Linked DNA regions of Drosophila melanogaster. The gene in region 4 interacts genetically with the main gene of each other region. Each region holds a gene or a part of one and is shown on either strand. Other genes may lie near its edges.

Region 1 (6,637 bases), on a different chromosome or scaffold from region 4:
ATATTCCTGGACTAAAAATATAGTTTTAACTTTACATATCTCTTTAAAGTATAACATTTGTGAGCGTATTTCTAGGATGTCATCTACTTTGACCGAGACATAATAAGCAAATTTACATATGCGATTAGTTCGTGGCTTTCTAACCAGGTTTATTCAACTTTGAACTATTCTTTTCGCATACCTGGCCCACTATGTAAATCATTTGCATATTCCCAAAACAATTTTATACGAACATTCATCTTTGTTTGCGTGTTTTCGCCTTGAATAATGCAGCTAATAACATATTCAATGACCGATCGGGAATTGAAAACAATATTTTGGTATTTGTCAACCACAAAAATGGGAATTCTCAGATCAGAATAATATTTTCGCCTATAAATGAGTGCTCTTATCAGCAGAAACACGTTTCGTACAAACAAACAAAGCTTAAAGGCTGCGACTTGTAAATTGGCGGAAATACATTTGTTCCCGTACTTAAGCACTTTTATTATAACAATTTTCAATAGTAAATTCACACTTTTATTATTACAATTTTCAATAGTAAATTCACATTTTTCTTATGCCTAATTTTCACATCAATTTCATTTGAATGATTCACAATTTGCTTAACGACTAGATAGAATAAAAGCATTGAAGTACACACATTTTTGGTATAGACATTGAACTATAAATGCTGCAGAAAATTAAAGCCACAATAAGCTGAATTTCATATTTAAGATATTTTGCTTTGAAGATAAAACTTGACCAATTTTGTGGAACCTAATCCTCGTCGCTATCGGACATGTCAAATTCTTCATCATCAAAATCGATAATCTGTGCAAAAATATGAATAATTTTTAAATATCTCCATTAGATTAAACACAGGAAACAAACAAACCTCGCTGTTTAACCGCTTGAATTCGGAGATTCCCGTCAAATCCTCCAGAAACTTGGCTGTTTCAAAAGTTTTAAACAGGAAAGCATGACCCTCTTTTTTATATTCATTTAGGACGGCCTGTAAGCGAATATATTAAAAAAAAAATTTTAACAATATTGAAAACGCTATCAAAACCATTTTAAAAGATTGTCAAATCTTACCGCTGAACAGGCTATGCACTGAGCAAACTTTTGAGTGGCGGGCAGAATATTCTCGTAGTTGCACAGCATTCCACGGATGGAGTGAGGCAAAATTCCTAGCAGACCCTCCGGCACCTTTTCTTCCGTCTCCTCCGACCTGCCACGCCCACTCTGTGCATAGTAGGCGGGTGCCAGCTCCTTACGAGGATGCTGCAGCAAAGCCACCAACAATTCCACCGCATAGCTGGCCGCAATGTTGGATACTCCGGGTCGTGTCACTGTGCACTGTTGATCCAAAGTTCGGTCTTTGAGCGACTGAAAATGGAATAGAACGAAATGCAATGAGTATCTGTATCCAAATTTGTACGTACAACTTTATAAAGCGAGTCTATAAGAGATTTTTTTATACAGAGTTTTTTTCAGTGTGATTTGGAGCACATTCGACGCCGGTGCAGTAGTACGATCAAGAGCTTTTGAAAGCTTTTCTGTGTCCACAAACACATGCTCCGAGCAAACAAAGATGACGCCTTCGGGCGAGAACAAAACAAATAGCAGCGCTTAAAAACCAAAAACACAAGATATAGAAAACTTCGGCGTTTGTATCGGTTACTTGAGCAACCCGCCGCTCCGCCCATCACTGATTAGATAAAGTTTTAACATTTGGGAGAGCCGGAGAACTCCGGACTCTCCCACGGAACTATAAAACACATTTTGCGCTTGATTGTTCAGTACAAAGGCGATAGTTAGTTGAATTGGTAATTGCAGGAAGGAATCATGTTGACCGAATTCGCTGGCAATCTATCGCATCCGCTGGAGTTTGGTCATGTTCTGGAGGTCGTGGCCAAGACCATCGATGGAGCAGCCAGGTAAGTGTTGTCCGGCATTAATGTAAGACCGCTTTTCCGTTTTCTGACTAATTACTTGTCAAATTGGGCTTCTTATCAGTACGTGACTAATCGATTGTGATCATTTGGTTCGGATAGGTTCCACATTAACCTCTGCACGGCCAAGAGCACGGTCGATCCGAACGCAGATATTGGGCTACGCTTCTCATGCTATTTTCGGAACGATGTGATCGTTCGAAATTCCCGGATAAACGGCGCCTGGGGCGAGGAGGAGTCCCATGTCATGGACCCCAACACCCTGCCCAATCCCATCGTCAGTGGCGAGTTCTTTTTGGTCTACATTCTTTGTTGCGAGGACAGCTTTGCCATCTCGATAAATAGCCGAGAGTTCTGCAGATTCCGCTACCGCATGCCGTTGGGAACGATTCGTGCTCTGGAGATCCGTGATCAGATCCAAGTCATTAAACAGGTGGATCATCGTACTGTGTTTCCAAATCCGTGGCCAGCCGTTCACGCCTCGGACTACTTTAAGGCGTTCAGTAACGATCAGCCAATTTTGTTTAGTCCGGGCCATGTGATTGTCCTTACAGCTCGGTGTTTCGAGAATAAAAAGGGACAGTTCATAATCAAGTTCATGGACTCGGATACCAAGCGCGAAGAGCTACACTTCAGTGTGCGTTTCGATGAGAAGGCAGTAGTGCGCAATTCCATGAACAAAAATTTTGAGTAAGTTAACTTTATAATGCCGTACCTCTTTGGGCGTTAACTAATTCTTTTTATAGATTCGGAAGCGAGGAGCGTCATGGAGGTTTCCCCTTCGTCTTTAACCAGCAATTCAAGCTGGCGCTTGCGTTTACGGAACGCGAGGTTTTGACTGCAGTGGACGGTTATAACTTCTTCAGCTACACCTGGCGCACACCTAATGCCATGATGAATCTAGTGGGTTTCAAGGTGACCAGCATAAATGGCCTGGTAGTGCAGATAACTGGTGTGGATCACCTGCAGACGGGGGATCCTACGTGCGCTGGCTTCGAAAAATATTCCCGCCATGATTACGAATGCGTTTAGTAACCATGTTAACCCAACTAATGAAGTCTGAAAATACAAATGTTATCTTAAACTATACAACAAATGGGACTTACATTTCCAGGGGCCGTAACATCGTTACAAAAGTAGCAACCTAATTGATCGCCATTAATGCACTTAAGTCCTTCGATTTCTTGGCCATCGTCGCCTGCTTCCTTACGCGTAGTGCCATGTCGCATTACCAGATAACTGTCAAAGCCTAAAGCTGCGTTGATGACAATCTATAAGGGAAACATTTTAGGTACATCTCTTCTGAAAGGTGAGTATATGATTGTTCCCACTTTTTCCTTTGCCGCTCCAAGCAGGGTGGGCAGCCAGCGGCTTTCGCGCGAATCTGTGAGCAGAAAGATGACATCATGGTCCTGCACAAGCTTTTCGATAACCTTCAAATGCTCCTTCGTCTGGGCTAGAAGCGATTCTCCAATAGTATGCCCAGGCATGGGAATCTCCAGCACATAACCCGCCGTTTCCGCAGACGGATTGATCTCTTTCAATCTCTGAGCAGCTGTAGTCGCCTTCATCCGATTGCCTGCCACAGCATCTGCATGCGTGTAGAGATTCTGACGCACTGGATTAGAGAACCCAACCTTGCCGCTGTCCAAAAGGGTTATGTGCTTAAATCCCCAGGACTACAAAATAAATAAACTATTAGTTATCAGATCAGTTAAATCATTTCGTATAAAAGCACACCAGCAGATTTCTAGCTACAGCGCATCCTAAAGTACCAGCTCCAAAGAGCAGGCATTTTGTTTGGGAGATGATTTCGAGATTGAGATCGGGAACAAGGCGCCACTTCATTAGTTTCAGGTTCAGGTTTACAGAGTTCTCAGCGAGTCTACGGAAAGAAATATTGTTAAATTATAAATAATAAACAAGTTACTTTCAACTGTCGTGGTAGCTAACACTAAGGACACACCTCAATGAACTGATAGTTCTTATCATTTAAGTCTATAGCTATTAACTTACTTGGCTGGATCCATGCTGTCCCTCATGCACACCATTCTTGGCCCCATTTTGCCATTTTTATTTAGCTCCCAGCCCACGAACTTTATATTTTCGCTTTGGCTAAGATCGCAAGCTTCAGTCTGAATCACCTTCCATACAAGGCTGTCATCGATGTTCATTTGTTGATTGTGTCGCAGGCCAAGAAACTTCAATGGTTTTCCAACAAAAGAGGGACTGTAATAGACCGACAACTGTGTGAACTGATATCATAACATTGCTATTCCTACCTACCATTGCTGAAGCAGAAAGGCAGCATAGTTTCGCATTATCCAAGCTGGATGCTCATACTCGCTGGGATCAGCAAAACCAAAATAACAGAACTCAACATTTTTATCGTCAAGGGAACTTAAACTACGGGCTTCGAAAATGTTCTTCTCCACATTAGCATACAGAATGAAGAAGTTCTGTGACTCAGTGGGTAAGGCCTTTAGAGCCATTATATAGCTACTACTATTGGGCAAGTCCCGCAGTTTTTGGACGGCTCCCTGAAGCTTTAAGGTGGGCGTCAGCGGGCACGGAAAGGCGAACCAATAGTAGTAGCTGTGACACTTTAAATCGGCAAAGGAGAGAACAAAGAACCGGGTCAATAGACTGGGATCTCTCAAGGCGCCACCACTGCACATATCAGCCAGCAGTTCCTTGCCCTCATCGGCCAGCAGTTGTAATTTGTCCAGGGCCTTGAACTCTTCGATTGTGTTCTTATTGTAGATGGTGCCTATAGCGGAATGGCTGAATTTTGGAGGCTTTGCCATTCTGGAATGTGGGTGGTCAAGCGCTGGTTTCATCAAACTCGTAGTTTTCAAGCTCACCTGTTGTAGGCCGTGTAGTCTACTTCCAAAAGGCATCCACTTGCATTACGATTTGTGTAGTGTCCAGTAATGGAGCGTTTCGAGTCGGACAGGCGATCGTGGTCGAGCTTAAGCTCCGCTAGCTTGTGCCAGAAAGTGGGCGACACAAAAGATTCCCACGGAGCAAATTGCAAAATTATCTCTTTTTCCGTGCTCATGTTTTGCTTAGGGCGTTGTTTACGTTCAAACGTTTGGCTGCAAATTATAAACAAACAAAGCTCTCGATGGCGATAGACCAATGAGAAGATAACTTATCGATAAGTACAGTTTTCCATACTTAGGTCGAATCCTCTGTTGCTTTGGCAAACTAAAAGATATACTTTAACTTCATAATTTTTTAAGCTTGAAGAATAAAATAAAAATTTTAAGACACAATAAAACTATAATAATTTTAAGAGTAGAATATAGCTTATTGTCAAGTTACACTGTAGTTCTTGGAAGTGAGATTGTCAGCCGCACTGCTATATGGTCACACCAGCACTTCCACTGCTGACGAAGATTGACCAAAACAGAGACTGAAAGTGATCCAAATAAATTGAAGATGGATTTACAGCAGCTGGAGGAGCAGGCTCGCCAGGCAGCGCTCAAGGACATACAGAACATGTTGCAGCGACCAGGTCAACTGGAGAAGGTGGAACAATATCGCCACCGAATCGCCCGGAAGAAGGCATCCGTTGAGGCGCTCCTTAAGACCGGAATGCAAGGACAGCTGGACGGGGTCAGGGTGGGACTTAAGCAGTTGGAGACCTGCATGCAGGACGTGCGCGAGGTAAGGCGTCGAATGGACGAGGTGGAGCGCCTGCTGAGGGGCGTTCCCGAAGTCTACGACGCTTTGGAAGTTGTGCGGGAGGAAAACACAAAGCACTCCCAGTACGCCACCGCCATGGAGAATCTGAAGCACATCTTCAACGTAGATGCCAGCGTACAAAAGACGATGGCGCTGATCGAGGATGATAAGCTGCTTAATGCCCATCAGTGCCTGGCGGATCTGGAGAATTCGCGGGATGATCTTCTCTACGAACTGCACAAGCAGCCCAAGCAGCATGCGTCCGACAAGATCACCCTAAAGCGTCACTTCGAGAAGGTTGACACGGTATCCCAAGAGCTGGAGAAAAAGCTGCGACTCATTCTTAGCCGCACGCTGAACACTCTGCGCAAGAAGCCCACCATCATCGTTACCGCCCTACGCATCATAGAGCGGGAAGAGAAAAACGACCAGTTCGCGTTGCAGCAGCAAAAGGTCACAGGATTCCTGCCGCCTGGAAGACCAAAGGCTTGGCGCCGCATGATCATGGACGTGCTACAACAGTCGGTGATAACGCGCATAGAGGGATCCAAGCTAGAGGAGCGGGCCGATAACAAGATGTGGTTAGTACGAGACCTGGAGATATTGCGTCAAATCATTCTCGAGGATCTGCGCGTTGTGAAGTCCCTTTGTGTGCCCTGCTTCCCGCCGCACTACGACATTTTCGGCGAATATGTCAAGTTCTATCACGAAGGACTTTCTAGCTATGTGAGTAATCGTCAATCATTTAAATTGATTAATGTTTTTATACCACTAATATTTACTAATTCCAGCTTGACAACATTGTGCGCTCGGGCTTGGAGGGCAATGAATATGTATCAATGATGGCTTGGGTTACACACACCTATCCTGGCGTCGAGCTGATGTCCCATCCGGATCTTAATGTGGATGTACACCGACAGATAGGTACTCTGCTGCGTCCGGAACATCTCAAAGCGCTGGAAGATGAATATCTGCAAAATATGCAGAGAAACTTCCAGGAATGGATGACC
Region 2 (3,687 bases), on a different chromosome or scaffold from region 4:
ACTTGAAAGATTCTTAATTGTATGAGATTATAGACCCTAGTTGACCCAATCCGAACCCGAACATGTAAATATCTGATGAATTTCGAAATGCAAGGCCCAACTATCGCAGCCACATATAAATATACACTTGTATAGATACCTAGTTCGGCTAAGGACCACACATGTTTAATCTTGATCGGAAGGAGACCCATGCCACACACACACACACACACACACACACACACACACCCACACACACAGATGATTAACCATTAACGATTTATAGATGTTAAGTATTTTATGCGTCGGTTTTGTAAATCCAAATCTTAAGAGGAATGTTGTAACTTTCGACCAAGGTCCAAAAAAGAAACACACAGAAAAGGAAGAAGCATCCAAACAGAGAATTCCCCTCTACGAAAAGTGAAAAGTGTAATACAAAATATTGTTGAACGATGCGTGTCGCTGTAAAATTTTTAGCATAGAACTTTTAAACGAAATAAATTTAAATGTAACTAAAGGAACTCGTTTTGCTTTGGCCAAAGGGAAACGCCGCATTCTTTTTTGTCTTCTTTAATGGTTGTTTATGTACACACATATTTTAATATAATTTCATCAATGCACAATGCAATCCTTCCACTTAACATGTTAACTTATTGCTGTCGCCAGAGAATCGAGTGGTGATCGAAAAATAGTTGGAAAAGTAAAGAGCTTGGTGAGAAAATAGAGTAAACCAAACCGTAAAAAGGGGAATTAGTCTAGTCTAGAGAGTTTCGAGTTTCAGCTTGGAGTTCAGTTGCGACCCAAGGTCATGCCCCGGCCCCAGGGACTTTCGGTCGCCTGCCTAGGTGGTGCTCTGCTCTCCGGTGGGAGTCCGAAGCCGCCGAATCCGCCGGAAACATCTGGCACCAGGCGCTTCCTATACAAAAAAAAGAAGTGCGGGTTATATCGACTAGCACCACAAGTTAATTATCCTCGTTATGCTTACAAGAACTGCGGCGTTTCCAACAGGGGTGTGCCGCCCAAATCCTGCGAGTATTGGAACTTGAAGAAGTAGTACACATGTCCCACGAATATGCCCACCAGCGAGGCGAGCGAGCTGCAGCGGATTACAATACGATAACAATTAGCAGATAAGGCAGATAAACTGACGCGACTTACAAGTGGAAAATAAACTCGAAGGCGGCCAGCACCCAGGGAAGGTACATGGCCTTGAACCTGGTGCCGAACCAGAAGCTCACGGTGACGTCCTTGTTCAGCTGGCACCAGATATACGTGATGGCCAGCACCAGCGTGTCCATGAGGAAGTACACGTTGAAGATCATGCCCCCGATGTTGGCCAGCACCGCCGACACGATCAACAGGTACAGGTAATCAGCCGGACTTCGGCTGTACTGATCCTTCTCCAGTTTGGAGCTGCAAGGCAGGATTATGAATCCTAAGGAATCCTAACGTAACGAACCAGTTGCTGTGCTGCGCCAGGCTGGCCGACTACTCACCTGTACTGAACGATGAAGAAGCAGTTGATGAGGAAGTGGAAGGCCGTGTTCGACGAGATGGGAAAGACGAACAGTGACGTCATGCAGCGCCAGAGCTGCAGCTTGCTGAAAACGGCCGATCGGTCCAGATGCAGCCAATGAAGGGGTATCACATCGAAGCGGCAGAGCATGCTCAACACCACGGTGGCCGTCAGCCAGTAGCGGGTGAAGCGGGGCAGCGAGCGGTACCACACGCCAGCGTCCATTGTGTGTACTTCTCGTGTATGCTTTGGTGTCCTGTTTAATTCATTAATTCGCTGCTTTTGTGCGGAGTGATTTTCTCTATTTTTGTTGCTTTACGTGTCTTTTTGGTGATGGCACTTGACTCCGGCTCGGGGCGAATGGCAAGGGTCGTGCCTATCGGCTGGGTTTAACGGCCATGAACGCGCTTGCCAGTGAATGTCTCTTGCATTTGAATTTTTAACATCTTTTGAAATAAATTCGAAATTTTTATAAAACTTTATTTATGGTCTCGAAATTCTAAGTATTACTGGGTATTATGAAGTTGTTTGTTATTATGTATGAGTTTGACATTAATAAGTTAGAAAAAAAGAATTTTCTACAATATCCAGGAATCAAACTAATATCGAAAAATAAGGTTTAAAATGTTTTTACATGTTCTTAAAGAACTCAAGTCATTTTGATTTTATATAAAACCGAACTTTCCTAGAAACAAAGTCAATTACGGTAACACAATGCTCGTTTAATATCATGCGATCCTTTATGATCTATTGTACAATATTTATAAGGAACCCTGCAATATTTGAAGCAACATCCATTTTCGACTGCAGTTCATTAAAACTTAACATCTTTTTTGCTTTGTTGTCAATAAATGCAGCCTCATTGATGGATTTAAGTTATTTTCATTATTATTTCGGTGTGCCCCTTCCGCTCTCCTTCACCTTTGATCCCGCAATTTGTGATTTTGTGAGGTAACATTTTCGAGGACTGACAAAGCGATGGCCAACAACAAAGCGGACAGAAACGCACACACATGCAGGACACTTAATTCATAACAGGCGAGAGCACACAAATAAATAGCGGAAATTTTGTTACGTATTTTTTGGCAACTTTTTGTGGTATCTTTGTGGCAATGCCTTTGTTAGCCAACGAAAAATGCGGGAATTTTTGACAGGTAAGAAGCGTGTGCCATGGCACTCACTCTCTCACACGCACACACGAACGCACACACATTGCCATGCAGTGGTGCGAAATTAATCAACTTGGAAATCATGCGCTTTTCCAATATCCTGCATTTTCGAGTGAACTCCGCTGTGCTGATTAATTTTGGACAATATTCCCCACTGTCACAAAGCAGATTATTGAGTCTCAAAATTTAGAGACAATTTTTTTTTCTGGTGGACTTTTGGTAACGAAAGTAAAAGCCGGTTTTTGAGCGATAAGTAAAGTTCATATTTTTTGAGTGCCGATGCATTCGAATGGTCGTTCTGTTGGAGTGAGTGAGCTGGCAACAGTTGGTGTGGGTGCCTGTTGAATTTCCAGCGGGAGCGAAAGAGATGCAGCGACAGCGAGAGAGCAACAGTAACAAAATGTCGAGGCTAATCAACTGTGCGTGTGTGTGTGCCTGTGTGAGTGAGCGAGGACACACCCACCGATTGGCCATGCGAAAAGATGGATGCTAGAGCAGTGCGACGCATGCGCTGCCATTTTGTGCGCCGACTGCGCTGCTTCCTGCCATTTGATACGCCCACTAACGGTGCTTCGTGCTCATCATTAAGTTGCACCCACACATATCGGTGCGCGAACACATACTGCACACATAGATGGATTCTATTTACCCACCCGTTGAGCCTTTTGCCCGGGCCTTTTGCTCGCAGCAGCTCACCTGGATCTCTCGGTCCACCTGGCTCCGTCATTTTGTTGTTGCCGCCGACGAAGGTGCACTCAAACAAATAGTTGAATTAGGTGAGCAGCTATTAAGAATCATTACTTAGCAATAATAAATGATAGTTTCTTTTGTATTATATCTCACTGTCTTTATATTCACTAGTTACAATTGAAGGCGCTTTATTCGTTGCTTTAGTAGGATTAGAACAAATATGAAATGAGTACTCCCCTTTATTTCTTTCAGTGTGCTCGCTCATTTCGTTGCGTGCTATGTAGAGAAGGTAAAGGCTCCTCCGCTGCTGCTTCACAGCGTCTTTTATTTAAT
Region 3 (5,054 bases), on a different chromosome or scaffold from region 4:
CGATAGGTGATAAAGCTACGAAACAGCGTATACTTGCAAAAGCATTGAAAAAATGTCACTTTGTGGTACTTACAACTGAGAGCCATTGGTGTTGGGTCCCGAATTGGCCATTGATAGCACTCCTCGGCCCGTGTGCGTAAGATTCGGCTTAAACTCGTCCTCAAACTTCTTGCCCCAAATGGACTCGCCACCAGAACCACTTCCAGTGGGATCACCACCTTGCACCTGTGGATAAAACCATAGTAAATTAAAGTTTCTCTCAAAAGAGATCGTACTTACAATAAAATTCCTTATGGACCGGTGAAACATAACATTATTGTAGTAACCATTGGCGCAATGCTTGATGAAGTTATCGCAGGCTCGAGGAGTTTGATCGCAGAAGAGCTCCAGGTTGAGAGGGCCAAGGTTCGTATTTAAACGAACGTAGCCCTTCTTTTTTACCCGCTCGTACTTGACCAAATCATCATCTATGATAGCCGCCTCTATTTGGGAAACGGGCACCATGGCGGTAGACGTAAAACTGGCCGCCACCGCTCCAGTTGAATAGTGAGCTGCGTTGAACTTGTCAGCTGTACGCTTCGAAGTGGAGGCCTCCTCTTCCGCTGGCTGATAGTCCTGCTGCAGCTGTTCCAGCGTCTCCTTGGTCTCCAGATTCATGGTCTTAATGCGGCCGCTGGCTGGATTCTTTCTCTCTTGCTGCTCTTCTTCCGTCAGGACTCGTAGATTCTTCTTAATATGATAGAAGGTCGAGATGTCGTACTTTTCCAGCTTCTGAGGATCTTGTATTGTGATGATATCCTTACGCTGGAATGGCGTGTCATCCACCAGATCCTTCCAGTTCTTTGTCTTAATGTTCAGCTGGTCGATTGCCTCCCAGCAGTATACATTTCCAGTTGTGGCCACCGCCACGATGTGCGAGTTCTTGCTGAAGGGCTTGAACAAGGCGGGGCAGTGGTACTCATCGTTTGCATTCCTGTGGAAGTTCAGCTTCACCAATGACTTGGAGTCCATCTTCTGCCCGGTGATGGGGTTCACCTTAAAGGTCTTGAGAAACTTAAGAATGGCCTCGTACTCGAACACATTGCCCTGTAGATCGCAGTAGGGCATCTCGTAGGGCGCCATCGTAATGCAGCAGTGCTCGAATGGCAGCCGCTTGAACTTGACATGGTCGTTCTCCAAGGATTCCACTTTTTTGCCGCCATACAGCTCACTCCACTCCGTGTACGTGAGGTACCTGTTAAAGCAATGGGTAGTCTTCATTTCCATAACTCGCTGGATGTGCTAAATACTTACATTTTGTCCTTTTGATGCTGCCTTTTACCCATCTTGGCTGTTTGTTTTTTTAAATTAAATTTGCAATAAAGTAAGAGCTACAAATAGTTTGTTTACAAATGCGGGAGAGAACTGCCAACTCTGTGCAGATTTATGTTGATGGATATCTAGGCTGTTCACACTTCGGGTACCATAAACAAAAGTATCGAGTATTTCAAAAAGTTAAAAACGAATATAAAAACAAATAACAAGAAAAATGCAAATTTAATTATTTATAAGTATTAATTTTATAAGATACCTTTGATTCTCCAATGTGTGTTATTTAGAGATGCCCTGGCAGTGTGAACACTGCACATTGGGCGCTGCAAGAGGTTCGCCTTACTTATTCATTACCCAGTATTTTGACGTTGGCCAACACTTCTCTTAGGAGAGTCAGCTGTTTGCTGAGAAGGTTCAGCAGAATCAAACAACAAAGAATTTTCCAACTTATACTATACAGCGATATAAATAGTCAGAACGGTTGACCTTGACGTTGGGCGATGTCTAGCCCACATATCAACTACCGCTCCCTGGCCGAGGAGGCGGCCAGTCCGTTCCTGGAGCACCATCCCTCCACAGGCCAAGGCCCATCCAAAACACAAGACGCAAAAGCGAACGCAGCTGCTGCGCATTTAGACCCCCTCGGTGAACACGGGCTGGAGCAGCCGCTGGATGAGCACGACACCGAGCATGAGGGCGAGGACACGCCTCGAAACAGTGGCGTCATGATCCACATGGTTCCGGAGACGGGGCGTGCGCGGTGGAACCACATCGAGGACCTTGACTCGTTCTTCTCGCGAATGTATCAGTACCAGCAGAAGCACGGATTCACAGTGATTGTAGTGGACGAAATGCTACAGGTTCTGGAGTTTGGTTTCGTCGTCTGGCTACTTGCCTTTGTGATGCACTGCGTCCGATTTGACGTGCTCTTTGGGGACACCCCTCCAGGGGGACTTAACCCCAACAAGACAACTTTATCCGATGTGATGTACCCCACAGGCGAGTGCTTAGCCAACTTCACTTGGGTCACGTACCTGGTTGTGTTCATAGCCGCTATCTATTTGGGCATAAGGCTTCTGAAAATGGTGTACCATATTACCCAGTACGCCGATATAAAGAGATTCTACAACTCTGCGCTTCATATCGAGGATTCGGATCTGGACAACTTTACGTGGCACGAGGTGCAACAGCGGATTCGTCGCGTCCAGGCCGAACAGCATATGTGCATCGACAAGGAGTCGCTTACGGAATTGGACATCTATCACCGAGTTCTGCGCTTCAAGAACTACCTAGTGGCACTGATGAACAAGCAACTGCTGCCTGTAAGGTTCCACATACCGCTGTATGGCGAAGTGGTCTCGCTGAGTAGAGGTATGTTGTTCAACATTGACTTCATCTTGTTTCGCGGCCCTGGATCTCCCTTCCAGAACAATTGGCAGCTGCGTGATGAGTTTGCGGTAAGAAGCAATCAAACGGAGCTGGCGCAGCGACTCTCCAAACTGATATTGGGGGTGGCGTTGTTAAATTTGGTCCTAGCGCCTGTGATCTTCGTATGGCAACTTATCTACTTCAGTTTCTCCTATGCGAACATTCTTCGTAAGGAGCCTGGTGCCCTTGGCCTGCGTACATGGTCCAATTACGGCCGCCTCTACCTGCGCCACTTTAATGAACTGGACCACGAACTAGATGCCAGGCTGAATCGGGCATATGACTACGCGGACCGCTATCTCAACTCCTTTTCCTCGCCACTGGCCGCTGTGATAGCCAAAAACCTACTCTTTATCAGTGGAGGACTACTACTTCTAATCCTTGCATTGGGCATTTACGAGGAACACGTCTTCCAGGTGGAGCATTTGCTTGCCATCCTTGCAGGGCTCGGCGCCATAGGTGTGGTCTGCAGAACTCTAATACCGGATGAGAATCTCGTTTGGTGCCCAGAGCAGCTAATGACCGCCATTCTGGCGCACGTTCACTACCTGCCCTCCGAGTGGCGGCAGCAGGCGCACACGACAAAGGTTCGCCAGGAGTTTAGCAACTTCTTTCAGTTTAAGGCTGGCTACCTACTCAGCGAAATCTTCAGTCCCTTCGTCACACCCTTCGTGCTGATCTTTGTGTTCAGGCCAAAGGCCATAGAGCTGGTGCGTTTCTTCAGGACGTTCACCGTATCCGTGCGAGGAGTGGGCAACGTATGCTCCTTTGCCCAGATGGATGTTCGCAAGCATGGCAATCCCGACTGGCAGTTAACCAGCGAACTGGAGGAGATGACCCGGGCTACAGCTCAACAGCCGCAGCAGGAGCCACAGCAGCAAAGTTTGGCCGGCGGCAAAACGGAGATGTCGCTTCTTCGCTTCACCCTGAACAATCCCGAGTGGCAGATGCCCAAGGAGGCCAAGCAGTTCCTGCGCGGCGTTAGAGAGCACGCCGTTGGTGAACTAGTCCAGGCCAAGACGTCGATGGTGCAGGAGAACCCGCTGACCAACAGCCTCATCTCATTTGGCACCATGGGAGCGGATTATTGTTCCATTGCGAACTCTGTGCTGACCGCACAGGTGACGCCCCAGCAACTGGAGATTTCGCAGTCGTTGCGTCCGGGTCTAGGACCGGTATCTGGAGGATTCCCCGTCGCAGCCAGCGACTTCCGCCAGATGTTGCAGCAGAATCTGTCCGCCAGTGTCGGCCCGCTGGACAGCATGCGCCGATTGCGCCTCAGCCGGGCTGAAGGCCGCTTGGAGGGTCCGACGGATACACTGCTCTACGGACTCTGTGGTGTGGACCCGCGCGTGGGCAGCACTCCCTTGAATGTGGGCGTGGCCGACATGTGCCTCAGTGCCCTCTATTTGCACGAGCTGAACCAGCAGAAGCGCCAAGCGCGCCAGTCTCGCATCGACGAGGCCGAGGACGAGCGTCCTGGTACGAGCCATTGGCCACCGCGACCACCAGCTGCTCCGTCGGCTGATACTGGCTTCGGCTCCCGCCATACCGTGATTACCTCAAAGGCTGCCGAGAGCACGCCGCTTTTGGGTAGCATCCGCTCATAGCAGCGGCCAGAGTGGATCTAACCACCTGTAGAGCTAAGGACCACCCATTCTGCTATTAGTGATTAACCTAAATTTTAAAGTGTAAACGAACGAACGACGTCGTCTAGTGCGTAGCTAAACTAATCTGAAACTAAGCTAAACTAAACGAGAAGCAATAAACATAAATGCATTATCAAATTGATCAGCTTTATTATTTCAAAGGAAATTTCGCTAGATAATAACTAAATCTATTAGTGTGTAGTAGTTGTGATTACCCATTACCCATATTTACATATATATATATGTATAAACTATTTACCTGGTTTGATTATAATGGCTTGTAAATCCTAAGCATTATCCGTTGTGTATCCTGTGTACAACAACTGAAAGGAGACACCATAAAAAAAATCCATTTTCATTGTGAAGATTATATTTAATGTCTTTACGGCTTATCCCGATCTTAGCTCTCCGGGATGTGGGAATGCCAGCTCCATCAGCACTGATGGATGGTCCCCATTTGTAGGCATTGTTGGCACACCACATCCACCTGGTCCAGAGATCCAGATGCGAGTGGCTGAGGAGAACGCATCCAGCTGTGCTGCAGCGCCTCGTGTGTCACTTGCCACACACGAACGCCATTTGGCGATTGGTGTTGATGGCCAATGCGGCGAGCAGAGACCAAAGACTGGAGGAGATCGGGGCGCACAGAGTGGACCGACCAAGTGC
Region 4 (4,311 bases):
TACCGATTTCCCGAATTTTTGTCCGACACGTAAACACGTCCGCACTGGGCAACATATACAACGCTTTTGGCGTCGCTGTTTTGGTTTTGAATTCGGTTTCAGCTCGAGCGGGTTCATGTTCGAAGCGAGCAAGTTCGAGTTCGTATCGAACTTAAGAGAGCCAACTAAAAGAGTGGGCTAAGAGTTTAAGGAACTGTTTATATATGTTATATGTCTAATTGGAAATTCATTGGCAGCAATTTATTAAAATAGTAAAAGTAATTTGTCATTTCTTGAAAAAAACAACTAAATTTGTTACAAATAATTATTGTTGTAAGGTAAAAAAAGAAGAAAGACGGAGAAAGCAGCAAAAAAACACGATCAACCGGTGGGAGTAAGTATACTGCACTTACAGAAATGACCTCAGAATTACGTAGTTATAGTGTTTAAATTACTTAATTACTACAAATATAAGCAGAAGCACTAATTGCGAGTTTTGTAAATAAATTGATTGATTTCAATATACCTATGTAATAAGTTTACTACATTATTTCTGTAAATTAAACTGTTTTAATGTAGTTAATAACAAAGGTATTAAAAAAACTTTAGGTGTCAAATTTCAATGTATGTATGTATGTACATACATATTTACATCCCCGGGAACCTACAATTTAAAAAGATAAGAAACGGGAATGCATAAATTTCAGGTGAAACTTTGCATTGTTATTCCATAAAAGTGCGTCAGATAAATCATTTCATTTTGAGCATTCAGCAGCAAGTGCATTTTCGGAATCCCGCCCCAATAAATCTCTCCTTTCTCTTCACCTTTTGGAGCTGCAAGATAAGAGCAGATTTCAGGTCACTGGAGGGGCAACATCTGCTTTCGGTGGAAGGCACCTCGAGAATCAAAGGCGATTGTTCTGGTTCTGAAAAGCCGGCTAAACAACTTTCCTGCTCCCCCACCCACTGTTCTTCATTTTCTTTTTTTGGCTCTTCAGCTGACAGAAATATTGATGTCGCTAATTGTAATTACATATCAATTATAATTGGCATCCAATCAGGGTCGTAGGAGCAGCTTTATTAATTAGCCGCAATTGTTGTTATGCGCCACAAGTTTCCAGCTCTCTCTTATGTTTCTCTCTCTTAAGCGCTGAGGTACATTTTTTGGCTGCACCGCAATAAAAGATTTCTTTATATTGTTGTAATTTAAAGTGAAATTGAAACTAACTTAACTTTGACATATTGTTTTTATATCACATTAAAATGCCCGTAGCTAACTGTTCGAATATTACACAATAAATTACTAAATCGTATAGAACTTTCTCTCAGTCTGCGGTACACTTTATAACGGTACTCCTTCGACTTAAGGACGCCATACTCATTTCCGGTTTCCGTTACTTTGTGTGCGTGAAATTTTGAATTGCGTGGCAAAGTTTGCCGCCCATTGCCGCTTTTTTGCGCATCTGAATTTTATTGAAAACACATTAAGAAATCCCCAGTAGCAGCGACACTTTCGCCGGAAGTTGCCAATTTCCCTGACGAGCGCCCACTTTTGTGGGCGTGAACCCGTCGGGGAAATCAAATTGTCTGGTGCAATGGCAAAGGGAATTGTATTTTGCTACCAATAAACGTAACTTCCCCTCGAGCAGGCTAATCAACGTTGGGCAAGAGCCCGAAAAATACCGCGGCGAGCGAGAGAAGAATCCACCCCAGCAAGCTCAAGGTGATAAGACGGCTGCATTGATTAGATAAGATGTTAGGCGAACGGGAGCGAGAGCTTTTTTTTGTCGTTTGATAGGTGAAAACTTCCAATCGCGCTTAGTCACAGGTTGCTGCCAAAGCGCGCGGACGGTCAGAAATGGACGACACCGACTTCTCGCTCTTCGGGCAGAAGAACAAGCACAAGAAGGACAAGGCGGATGCCACCAAGATCGCCCATACGCCCACATCGGAGCTGGACCTCAAAAGGATCATAATCTCGCGCCCCACCAACGAGGACACATACGAGAATTGCGCGCGAGCGGGCATTGCGCTAATCCTGAACCACAAGGATGTCAAGGGACAGAAGCAGCGCGTGGGCACCGAACGGGATCGCGATGACATGGAGGCGACGCTGCAGGGATTCGGATTCGATGTACGCACCTTCGACGATCTGACCTTCTCCGAGATCAACGACACGCTCAAAGAGGGTGAGTTATCCACGAGTTCTATTGTTGCAACAAATGGCAGACAAAAACACAGAACCATACATATGTACTCAAAGTTAAGTTATCTACCAACGGAATCAAGTTTATTTTCGTATTCCACCGTAAATACGAGGTAATGTCTTTCTTTACGAGTAGTAAAATATATTTACTCCCTTGTTAAACAAAAGAGAAAACATTTAATATGCAACTTAAAAATCAATGTGATAGTCATCAAAATCTAGCTGCACTCAATCGTGTCCATCGAAACTGGTGACATATTTCAAACACATATGTATATCTTATCATTATCAAAACAAAGTCACTATTTTTACGACTGCAATAATTATGAGATAAAGACAGTAATCTGTTGGTCTGATCAATCCGAAGGCAGCAAAAAAATATTTTTTGTTTTGAGAAAATAACAACCGTTTTATATGTTGAAAATTGTATAGTGCATTGATTATTGGAACGCGTCTTTTTGTATAGTTTTCTTTGAAGAGAAAAGTGTTTTGAAGCAAGTCTCGATTTTTATTATAATTATTTTTCTACTTACTAAAGATGTGAATCTACTTCATTTCAGTTGCTCGGGAGGATCACAGTCAAAACGACTGCTTTGTGTTGGCGGTGATGTCACACGGCACCGAAGGCAAGGTCTACGCTAAGGACATGTCATATCCTGTGGAGCGCCTTTGGAATCCCTTCCTCGGCGACAACTGCAAGACGCTCAAGAACAAACCCAAACTCTTCTTCATCCAGGCCTGTCGCGGAGCCAACCTGGAAAAGGCAGTCGAGTTCTCCAGCTTCGCTGTGATGACCAGGGAACTGGTCCCGGAGCCCGCTGCCGCCGTTCAGCCCATCACCTATGCCATTCCCAGCACGGCGGACATCCTCGTCTTCTACTCCACATTCGACAGTGAGTGTTGGCAAAATGTATTAATCATATTTAGTTTCACAATTAATTGAAACTTGTCCAGGCTTCGAAAAGCTTTGAACGTCAATCAAATCGGGTTATTTCTGGGTTGAAAAGGATTGTGTTCCTATCAATGAATTAGAATACTTAATGCATACTTAAAGCACTATTTTGGAAGATACTTGTTCTTAGTCCAAAAGAAAGAAATAGTTTTTTGGCTATATGAATATAATTTCTATATTTATCTTGCTATTAAGTTTCCATTTCAAATATTTCCTGATTGTAACTTCTTCCTTTCTTCCTTTCAGAATTCTTCTCATTCCGTAACGTTGACGATGGCTCCTGGTTCATCCAGAGCCTGTGCCGCGTCCTCGACCAGGCCGCCGCCAACGAAGCTGCCACGCCGGAGGGCGTCGAGCTACTCCGCCTGCTGACCGCAGTGAATCGGAAGGTGGCCTACGAGTACCAGTCGAATACGAAGAACGAGGCCCTCAACCAGATGAAGGAAATGCCCAACTTTATGTCGACACTGACCAAAACATTCCAGCTGCGTGTTAAGCCCAAGACCTGAGCTCCGGTCACGAAATCAGCGACAATCCAATCGGGACTGTGAGTCAGTCCGCGGGTCAAGAACGAGGGACGCCACAACTCTTTCATTTAATCGTAATGTTTGCAATTTGTTAATAGAAATACATATCGATGGCACTTATCTAGAATTGGCTTAGTGCCTTTGGGACTGCGATAGCGAACTGGCTGACAAGTGAATAGATAGAAGTCGCGTTTCCGGGAGGTCAGTTGCCCGGAAAATGTTGCGATTTCCGCATGTCTGCGGTCTTTGTTTGCTGCTTAAATATTGGCAGATTTTGGCCTTGGCCCCGTTTCGGACTTCCGAGCCAATGGTCGCCAGGTGCCAGCGATGGATGACCTTGATTGCGGTCTTTAGATGGCTACTACTCACATCAATGGCGCCCTTTGTTCTCTGGAAAAGTGCTGCCATGTATGAGGCCACTAATGTGCGGCACTCGATGGTCTTTAAGACAATCGCTTTGGCCACCATGACGGGTGATGTCTGCATTTCACTAGCTCTGTTGGGAAACCACCTTTGGAATCGCCGGGAGTTGGCCAATTTGGTAAATGACTTGGCCAGATTGCATCGTCGGAGGAGACTGAGCTGGTGGTCCACATTGTTCCTCTGGCTTAAGTTGCTACTCTCCCTCTACGACCTGTTATGTAGTG

What was found.
Region 1: of Decay (region 4) and Atg7, changing one suppresses a phenotype caused by changing the other (phenotypic suppression), as found in Drosophila melanogaster (one study listed by BioGRID).
Region 2: of Decay (region 4) and Der-1, changing one suppresses a phenotype caused by changing the other (phenotypic suppression), as found in Drosophila melanogaster (one study listed by BioGRID).
Region 3: of Decay (region 4) and Atg9, changing one suppresses a phenotype caused by changing the other (phenotypic suppression), as found in Drosophila melanogaster (one study listed by BioGRID).

Annotation. Positions count from the first base shown.
Region 1 is NT_033778.4:18,619,962-18,626,598, forward strand, and holds Atg7 (Autophagy-related 7), read right to left. Parts: upstream 5,084-6,637; 5' UTR 4,999-5,083; coding exon 4,802-4,998; intron 4,746-4,801; coding exon 4,224-4,745; intron 4,167-4,223; coding exon 3,954-4,166; intron 3,823-3,953; coding exon 3,678-3,822; intron 3,617-3,677; coding exon 3,269-3,616; intron 3,209-3,268; coding exon 3,044-3,208; intron 3,026-3,043; exon of another isoform or gene 2,970-3,025; coding exon of another isoform or gene 2,684-2,969; intron 2,628-2,683; coding exon of another isoform or gene 2,040-2,627; intron 1,923-2,039; coding exon of another isoform or gene 1,831-1,922; exon of another isoform or gene 1,580-1,830; intron 1,372-1,579; coding exon 1,078-1,371; intron 995-1,077; coding exon 878-994; intron 814-877; coding exon 760-813; 3' UTR 505-759; downstream 1-504. Other genes in the region: CG5335 (uncharacterized protein), read left to right, coding at 1,831-1,922, 2,040-2,627, 2,684-2,969; Sec6 (secretory 6), read left to right, coding at 5,382-6,353, 6,419-6,637.
Region 2 is NT_033779.5:1,972,269-1,975,955, reverse strand, and holds Der-1 (Derlin-1), read right to left. Parts: upstream 2,000-3,687; 5' UTR 1,721-1,999; coding exon 1,476-1,720; intron 1,393-1,475; coding exon 1,138-1,392; intron 1,076-1,137; coding exon 965-1,075; intron 896-964; coding exon 769-895; 3' UTR 543-768; downstream 1-542. UniProt on the Drosophila melanogaster protein: May be involved in the degradation process of specific misfolded endoplasmic reticulum (ER) luminal proteins.
Region 3 is NT_033778.4:16,292,710-16,297,763, forward strand, and holds Atg9 (Autophagy-related 9), read left to right. Parts: upstream 1-1,690; 5' UTR 1,691-1,811; coding exon 1,812-4,349; coding exon of another isoform or gene 4,350-4,370; 3' UTR 4,371-4,523; downstream 4,524-5,054. Other genes in the region: CG7747 (uncharacterized protein), read right to left, coding at 1-15, 74-225, 280-1,234, 1,294-1,325.
Region 4 is NT_033777.3:16,498,530-16,502,840, reverse strand, and holds Decay (death executioner caspase related to Apopain/Yama), read left to right. Parts: upstream 1-1,790; 5' UTR 1,791-1,837; coding exon 1,838-2,168; intron 2,169-2,745; coding exon 2,746-3,078; intron 3,079-3,383; coding exon 3,384-3,646; 3' UTR 3,647-3,783; downstream 3,784-4,311. Other genes in the region: Gr89a (gustatory receptor 89a), read left to right, coding at 3,882-4,311.